Oryzias latipes: one gene and its partner. The protein of the gene in region 2 purifies or fractionates together with the protein of the main gene of each other region. This does not show direct contact. Links are inferred from orthologs where the notes say so. Each region holds a gene or a part of one and is shown on either strand. Other genes may lie near its edges. The genes, in order: plekha2 and mpdz.

Region 1 (3,799 bases), on a different chromosome or scaffold from region 2:
AGTCTGTGGCTGTAATCTAGTGGGAGAGTGTGAACAAAGATGATGGGAAGTCAGGGTAGGCTTACTCTGCACCAACAACTCGGAGGTGAATTTTTAATGAACTCCTGCCGCTCTGCACCAGCAACGTCTTAGAAAACGACACCGTTTTAAAAAAAAATTTGGTTAAAAATGGCATAATCATAATCAAAAGATCAAAAGACGATTGAGGTGTGACTTAAAACAAACCTATTTACTAGTTTACATCTCATTGCTGTTTTAGATTGATGGTAAATTCTGCAATGATTTCTTCTTCATAAAGATTTTTAAGTTTCATATCGGGTCTGTGAATAACAGAGCATCTCATGTATTTAAAGCAAAGGTCTGGTTGATTGTACAGTGATGTTTAGAAATTTTAGACCTCATGATCTTTAGCAGTTTGCAAGTCTTTGTGAGCAGTTGAAGAACTCACATGCTACTAACTGAGCTCACTTCAACTTCAATTATGAGTTTTTCTTTCTAATCTAACATCCAGATCTGCCCTGTTATAAATAATCTTTCAAAGTGCTGTGTGGGATTTTGTTTTAATATTACACGGCTGGATTACAGGTCCCCAAGTATTGCCCCCCACCAGTGAGACCTGATGTGACCCCTGAGATCAACGTGACTCACAAAGGGAAGAGGCAGCAGGCCTACAAGACTGAGATCATTGGCGGCGTGGTGGTCCACACTCCCATTCAGGTGACTTAAAGACCAAACTGTCTAAGCAGCAAAAATCAGAAATCCTTTACTGTCATTGTTACACAAGAATCTTGTGACATCTTAATGTAAAAGAACGCAACAGTTTTTTAATCCATAACTTTTTTTTTTCCTCGTAAATGTTTCAGAATGACGCTGAAGAAACAAATGGGAAGGAGAGGAAGGGGAACAGGCCTGGTGTGTTGAGATGTGGTTACTGTGTTAAACAAGGAAATGTGGTGAGTGGTCAACCTCTCATAACACAGTAACTGTTTGTCTGAATAAATAAACCGAGTGTGTTTGCAGAGGAAGAGCTGGAAGAGGCGATATTTCACCCTGGATGATAACGCAGTCTGTTACTACAAGTCTGAAAATGTAAGACAGCAGAATTACAGCTTTTTTTTGTTTTGTTTTGTTTTGATGTCTGTCATTGATGCCGTTAAGTGACAGCGGTGTTTGTGTGTCCCAGGACAAGGAGCCCCTCCGAGCTGTTCCGCTGAGAGAAATTCAAAAGGTCCATGAATGTCTCGTCAAATCAGGGTGAGTCAGACATGAATCACAGTCAGATTTTTTCCCCAGTTTAGCTTCTTCTCTGTCTGGTTATCTGTCTCACAAAAATAGAAATCAAATGCAGTTTTTGGAAATGACTTACCGAAAATGCCGAAAACAAGTGTGTATATGAGCTGCTGCAGTGTGAGTGTATGAAACTTATATATCATCCAACAACCTCTGACTGTCTTTGCAGAGCTTCCCTCATGTTGATCAGGCCTTTCACCACGTGATTCAGCAATGAATGTGACTGAGCACAGCTGATAGTGATAACTTAAAGAATTCATCTTTTTTTTGTGTGTGAAGATTTTAAGTTTGCTGACAGAGATTAAATCTTATTTCTTTATTCTTTATTGCTTTCTCATCACAAAAACATTTATTTTGTCAAAATCCTTAAAAAAAAGTTTAAACGTAAATTATTCTTTTAATGAATTATTTATTTCATTTTCAATGTTAAGACATTACATAACAAAACCTCGAACACTAACATAGTCATTTTTCACTTTTTCCTCCTGTTAGGGATCTGCTGCTCAGAGACAATCTTTTTGAGATCATCACCAGCTCTAGAACGTTCTATATCCAGGTAAAAAGTCTTGCTTACAAACATCTTTTTTTTAAATCCTGTATTTAATATCATTACAATGTCCTGCTGCTTAGGAAGAAAATGAAAAACAGCACATGAAATTTTTCTGCTGCATCTGTCCTGATGTGTTGACATGTTGTCTCTGAATGCTCTGCTGCTGATGTGAGACCACCGCTCCTTTTTTAGGACCCTACACAGTTTGTTTTTGTGAAAGGAGCACAGCCATGTGTAACCATAACAACAACAATAATATTCTTGCTCCTCTTGGGAGAGCAGCTGACTGATCAGATGGGAAGTGCTTTGGAGAGAAAGAGGCCGACTGAGAGCACCAGAGCTTTTATGTTTATCTTTGCAAAAAAGAAAAAAAAGGGAAGTGTGAGAAACATTTAGTAAGCTCAAGTAAACATGTCAACTGAAGATTTTGGTCCCATTCTGAACTCTTGTTTATACTTAAAAAAATAGTTAACACTTCTCAATACAAATAATTATTTGGTTTTGATTGATGTAATAACCCAAAATCATATATATTTATTTGTTTTTTAAAAATGTTACATTGTTTAACTCGGAAAGGGGGGGATAAGATTATTGCATTCTGCATGAACGAACAAAATAAAGTGATTAACGCTGAAAGAAGTTTTTGTTGAGTGTTATGTAAGACTTGAGGTTGAAATGGCTCATGATTGCTACAGAGCTCCATAAGCTGATGGTTAAATAATAAAAAAGCTAAGCTGAAGCCACAATCAAATGCTAAATTGGTGGCAAAGATGAAAGAGATTCTGATTCTCTGTTGTGGAACAGATTAAAAAAAAAAGCTGAAGTTGATACAACGATTTTTTGGGCGGTTCAGATCTCACTCTCTCAATTGGTTACATATTGGATGGTCATGGTGCAGAGGTAGACCGGTCGACCTCTGATTGGAAGATTGCAGGTTCAGTTCCCACCCTGCTTATGTGTTGAAGTGTCCTTGAGCTGGACACTGAACCCCACATTCCTCCTGGTGCTTATAGATTGGCACCAGTGTTTGGCAGTGGAGCTGCCATCAGTGTGTGAATGTGTGTGTGGATGGGACTGCAACTTAAAAGCTACTTGGGCCATCTGAGAAGGTAGTAAAGTGCTAAATATACGCCATAGTAAACTGTCGGCCTTCTTTCACTACAAAGGCTGTGATTAACTCATCTTCCACCTTTGACCCCGAAAAATAAAAAAAAAAGGTTTAGAAAATGGGAAGAGAGCGACATGATGATGTTCATTTAATGCTAAGCTAACAGCACAGAAACATTATTCAACATTAAGCATGCAAAAAATGAAAAAATGAAAAAGTCAAATTTAAATGGTGTTTTTTTTAACTTATTTATTCCCAATGAGGTGTATGGGCTTTGAAAATATAACATCCAATTTTCTTTCTTTCTTTGTTCCATCATAGGTGAACAAAAATATATATTTCTGCCACAAGTGATCAAAATTGGAAGAATTTTAATTCCATTTCCAAGTCGTGGTGTCACTTTAGCGATTTAAGTTTTATGCTTATAACAAATGTACTACTGAGTCTGCGTGGGGGTGTTGCCACAATGCACAAGCCCGGATTTAAATGCCAATTCAAGTCAGTGAGACCTAAGTCCATCTATCCTTACATTTTCCATTTTGCAAACCCGCTGAATGCTTGTCAGGGTCACGGGGTTGATGGAGCCTACAGCAGCTACTGTTGGCCAAAGGCGGGGAACACTCTGGACAAGTTGCCAGTCTTAGGGACAACAAATAGCATATGAAGCATGTTTTTGGACTGTGGGTGGAAGCTGGAGTGCCCGGTGAAAAACCCACACATGGCACTGGCAAAATCGGGAAACACACAGAAAGGTCACAGCCAGAATTTGAACCAGGGCCTTCTCAGTTTGAGGCAAGACTGAGGCGAGAGTGCTAACCACTAGCACTCTTGCCTCACAGGACAGATTTTGA
Region 2 (3,824 bases):
TTTGCTGTCGGTGCAAACCCCTTTCTGCACAGGACCCGCTGGACCCTGCCAAGACGGTGATTGTCATCCGCTCTTTGGTCCCAGACGGCGTCGCCGAGACGGATGGCCGACTGTTGCCAGGAGACAGACTCATGTATGTCAATGACACAAACCTGGAGAACGCGAGTCTGGAGGATGCCGTCCAGGCCCTGAAGGGGGCCAAGCTTGGCAAAGTCCAGATTGGCGTCGCCAAGCCGCTGCCTGTAAGCCTGAGTGTTAGTATCCCGACTTTTGTCTTTGTTTCACACCTATCTGAATTTAGAGATTAGGCCGTGATGAATGTGCGCGCTTTTATGATTGTTGCACGTGTGTAATTGTGCAGCAGAATAAGATGGATCACAGTAGTTGTGTTTGATGTGGAGCTGTAGTTTGTATCGTAGCTTCCAGTCCAGTGTTCTCAGCTTACATGAGCTGAAATTTTGATGTGGGGAAGAGAAGGTGAGGTTGGCTGCATGGAGTTGAATTTCTCCCAGTGTTCTTGAATAATTTGCACCTTTTGCTTCCCTCAATCAAGTTTAAACTGTTTCTTAATCTGTCAAACCTCTGGGGGGCCACATGTATGAAACTTTACATGATGAGGAAAAAGTCTGAGGACTTGCATATTATACACAAACCGTATTCTCCGCTCTAGCAGGTGCACCTAAAAGACTGTTCATTACCTTCAAGTCTGTGTTTTTACAAGATGGAAACAGGTTGCATGGAATTGCTAATGGGCTAACGGGCTAACTTGTAGCGGTGTCAGGCTGTGTTTCTTTTTTTTACATGCTATAAACAAAGTTGGAAGTTGGTGTAGTCACAGTTTGTTTTAGTGGAATTATTCTGTTTTTTACGTGTTACAAAAAAGAGTTGGATTTACAGGTATTAATGCGGCTAACACTTCTTACCTGACTAACGTGTAGCAGTGTGAAACATGTAACTAGCAGGATTGGGAGTTAGAATTGTCGCAGTAATGTTTGTTTTAGCTGTATCAGTCTGTGTTTTTACAAGATGGAAACAGGTTGGATGGAATTGCTAATGCGCTAACAGGCTAACTTGTAGCTTGTAGCTTGTGTTTCTATTTTTTTATTTTTTTCATTTTCGTTTCACCAACAAAATTCCTACTTAGTGTGTCACAGTAACGTTTCTTTTTATTGAACACAGCTCTTTTTATCCTAACACCTCTAACGTGGCTAACGTATATATATATATACTGACCAAAAATATAAACGCAACACTTTTGTTATTGCTCCCATTTTTTATGGTATATACTCAAAGATGTGAAACCTTTTCAACATACACAAAATAACCAGTTCTCTGAAATATTGTTCACAAATCTCTCTAAATCTGTGATAGTGAGCACTTCTCCTTTGCCAAGATTGTAAAGTAATGTAGTCAATCCCGATCAAGAAACTCTATACAGTTTTCAGGAAGTGCTGGGGGCCTGGGAGCTAAGAAAATTTTCCTACAGGCCGCATTTGGCCCACAGTCCGGACTTTGGACATGCATGCTATAAGCCATTGGTGCCACTTTTGTTCTTTTTTGGGAGTGTTTCTGTCGGTTTGAAATTCTTATGTCTGGGATTCGCAACCTAAGTGTGCTCCCTTGAAACGTCATTGGTCCCACAGCACAGAAATAAATGAAGAACACTGTTAGACTTCATGGTGCATTTGTTTAAAAAAATATATCTTTAAAATTTACAGTGATTTAAAACACATTATGTTGACTTTTAAAAAGATTTATACATGTGGCCCCAACGCTGTTAGTTTTTGCATCCGCTTGTTTTATTGGTTCAGGGTGTTTCTTTCTTCAAAGACAGTTTGCATTCTTTTAGCTGCAGAGCTGCATTTTCTTTTCTGGTTATTGAATCAACCGCGTGAGACCTCTGGGCGGCCAGGGTTAGCCAGCTCACACAACCCATAGGGAAGTGCTCCGGGAGGGGATATTTCGCTTGCACGGCCTCTCAAAATTGAACCTGACGCGTGTAATCCTCCATATATTTCCTCTCGCTTCCTCGTGCATCTCTCTGGCACTTGCATGCCCCACAAAATCAAAAGCGCCAGGAACTTGAAGCCCAACTGCGTAGAGTTCAAAAGCTCCCAAATTCCTAACAGTCTCCATCTTCATTTCATACTAATTCATTCTTTATATTTGATGAAATTCACTTATCCAAAAGTAGAAAGACTGAAAGCCTTTCTCCCACTTTCCTAGGGAATATGTGGATATTCCCACTCTCTACACCCATATGGTGACCAGAAAGTAACTCCATCTTCCATCATCCATCAGTCATTTGACTTCAGCAATGTTTTGATTGAAGAAGGAGAGGAGGAGGGACTGGCTGAGGGCGTCCTTTACCGAGCTGAACCTGCATTGGTTAGTTAGTTAGCTGTATGAAAAAACAAAAAAAACAAAAAAACGGAAATGACTTTTTCAAATGATTAAATAAGGTTGAATAAAGAACCATTTTTAAAAGTCAATCACAGTGGTCCCTCGTTTATCGCGGGAGTTACATGCTAAAAGTAACCCACGATAGAAAATCTGTTATTCTCAAAACAGCCGTCTGTTCTTCGTGAACAGATGGTCGTAGCGTCTGCTTAGCTAATTTGCAAACAAACAACACTTAGATGTTGTTCCTTTGTACACTGTGAGGATGAAACACTTGTTGCCATGGATACACAACACTAATTTGACTTTGGTGTCTGGAGTTTTTTATTTTATTTTTTTTTTTTTTTAGACACACGCAGACGTAAAACAGCTAACGATATCGGTAAAACGGGATTCACGCCAGATTTTCACGGAAAAAAAGCCTATATTTGTTAGTCCGATGTGTCATTATCGGATAAAGTTACTTGATAAAGTAGGATTACTTGTGAAATCAGATCACCAACTATATTAGTGTTGTCCATGTGACCATTGTATTAGAAAACATCCTGTCAATAAATGCGCGGAAAAACGAAGAAAAAAAATAAAAAATAAGAGAAGGCAAGCAACATGGTAAACAAAACAAAACAAAAAAAATCTGAGAAGGAGTGAGACCCCTAAAGGTATAACGCGATATAGCGAGCGACCACTGTATACAAAATCAAACGGTTTGTTGTTGTTTGGGTACACCTTGATTTAAGAAACATTAGCATCTTTTCTTTATTGTCTCGACTTTGACTGGACAATACATCGTTGCAGATTGATCCTTGTGAAGGAGACCTTTCTGATGAAAGGATGTTAGATCACACCTACTCGGGGGTAGAGGAGGACACTTTCCAGGTGTCCATGATTGCTCTGCATGGGAGTGCCTGCAGCACTGACCTGGATTATCTGCAATCATCCACACCTAAGGTAGGCACATGCTTTGGGTTTGGAGGATCTTTCTTTGATGTTTATGCTACATTTTTTACAGAAATACTAGGGAGGACTTTTTCCAAATGGGACATGCTTTTAAACTTGATATACAGACACTAACCCCTCCCCCAGTGAATTCTTAAAGTGTGTTTTGTATTTTAATTGTGCTAAAATGTAGATCAGATCAAAATTAAGCACACTTTCTTTTAGCAGGCACATGGCCACTTAAAACACAATTTGACTTAAAAATCAGCTTCAAGCCAAAATGTCATTTACTCAGTAGCCTTAAGTTATGAGAAAAATAAACTGCATCCACTGCTGCCTGATGCAAATGTTTAGAAAAAGCAAAACTCTCAAGTGAAAACACTTCAAGCCATTTGGGGCTTCTGTTGACAAGTCATACTTTAAAGTCTACATTCTAATCTTTTAAACATTTTTACGGCAAATATATCGTTATATTATTTTTATTTTAT

What was found.
Region 1: the proteins of mpdz (region 2) and plekha2 purify together in Homo sapiens (affinity purification with western blotting; 3 studies listed by BioGRID and IntAct, with this or other methods). This does not show direct contact. The link is inferred for Oryzias latipes from reciprocal best matches to the Homo sapiens genes MPDZ and PLEKHA2.

Annotation. Positions count from the first base shown.
Region 1 is NC_019867.2:13,485,826-13,489,624, reverse strand, and holds part of plekha2 (pleckstrin homology domain-containing family A member 2), read left to right. Parts: intron 1-585; coding exon 586-717; intron 718-863; coding exon 864-953; intron 954-1,020; coding exon 1,021-1,089; intron 1,090-1,183; coding exon 1,184-1,254; intron 1,255-1,782; coding exon 1,783-1,846; intron 1,847-3,799. UniProt on the Homo sapiens protein: Binds specifically to phosphatidylinositol 3,4-diphosphate (PtdIns3,4P2), but not to other phosphoinositides. May recruit other proteins to the plasma membrane.
Region 2 is NC_019876.2:9,329,931-9,333,754, forward strand, and holds part of mpdz (multiple PDZ domain protein), read left to right. Parts: intron 1-32; coding exon 33-254; intron 255-2,226; coding exon 2,227-2,388; intron 2,389-3,195; coding exon 3,196-3,348; intron 3,349-3,824. UniProt on the Homo sapiens protein: Member of the NMDAR signaling complex that may play a role in control of AMPAR potentiation and synaptic plasticity in excitatory synapses. Promotes clustering of HT2RC at the cell surface.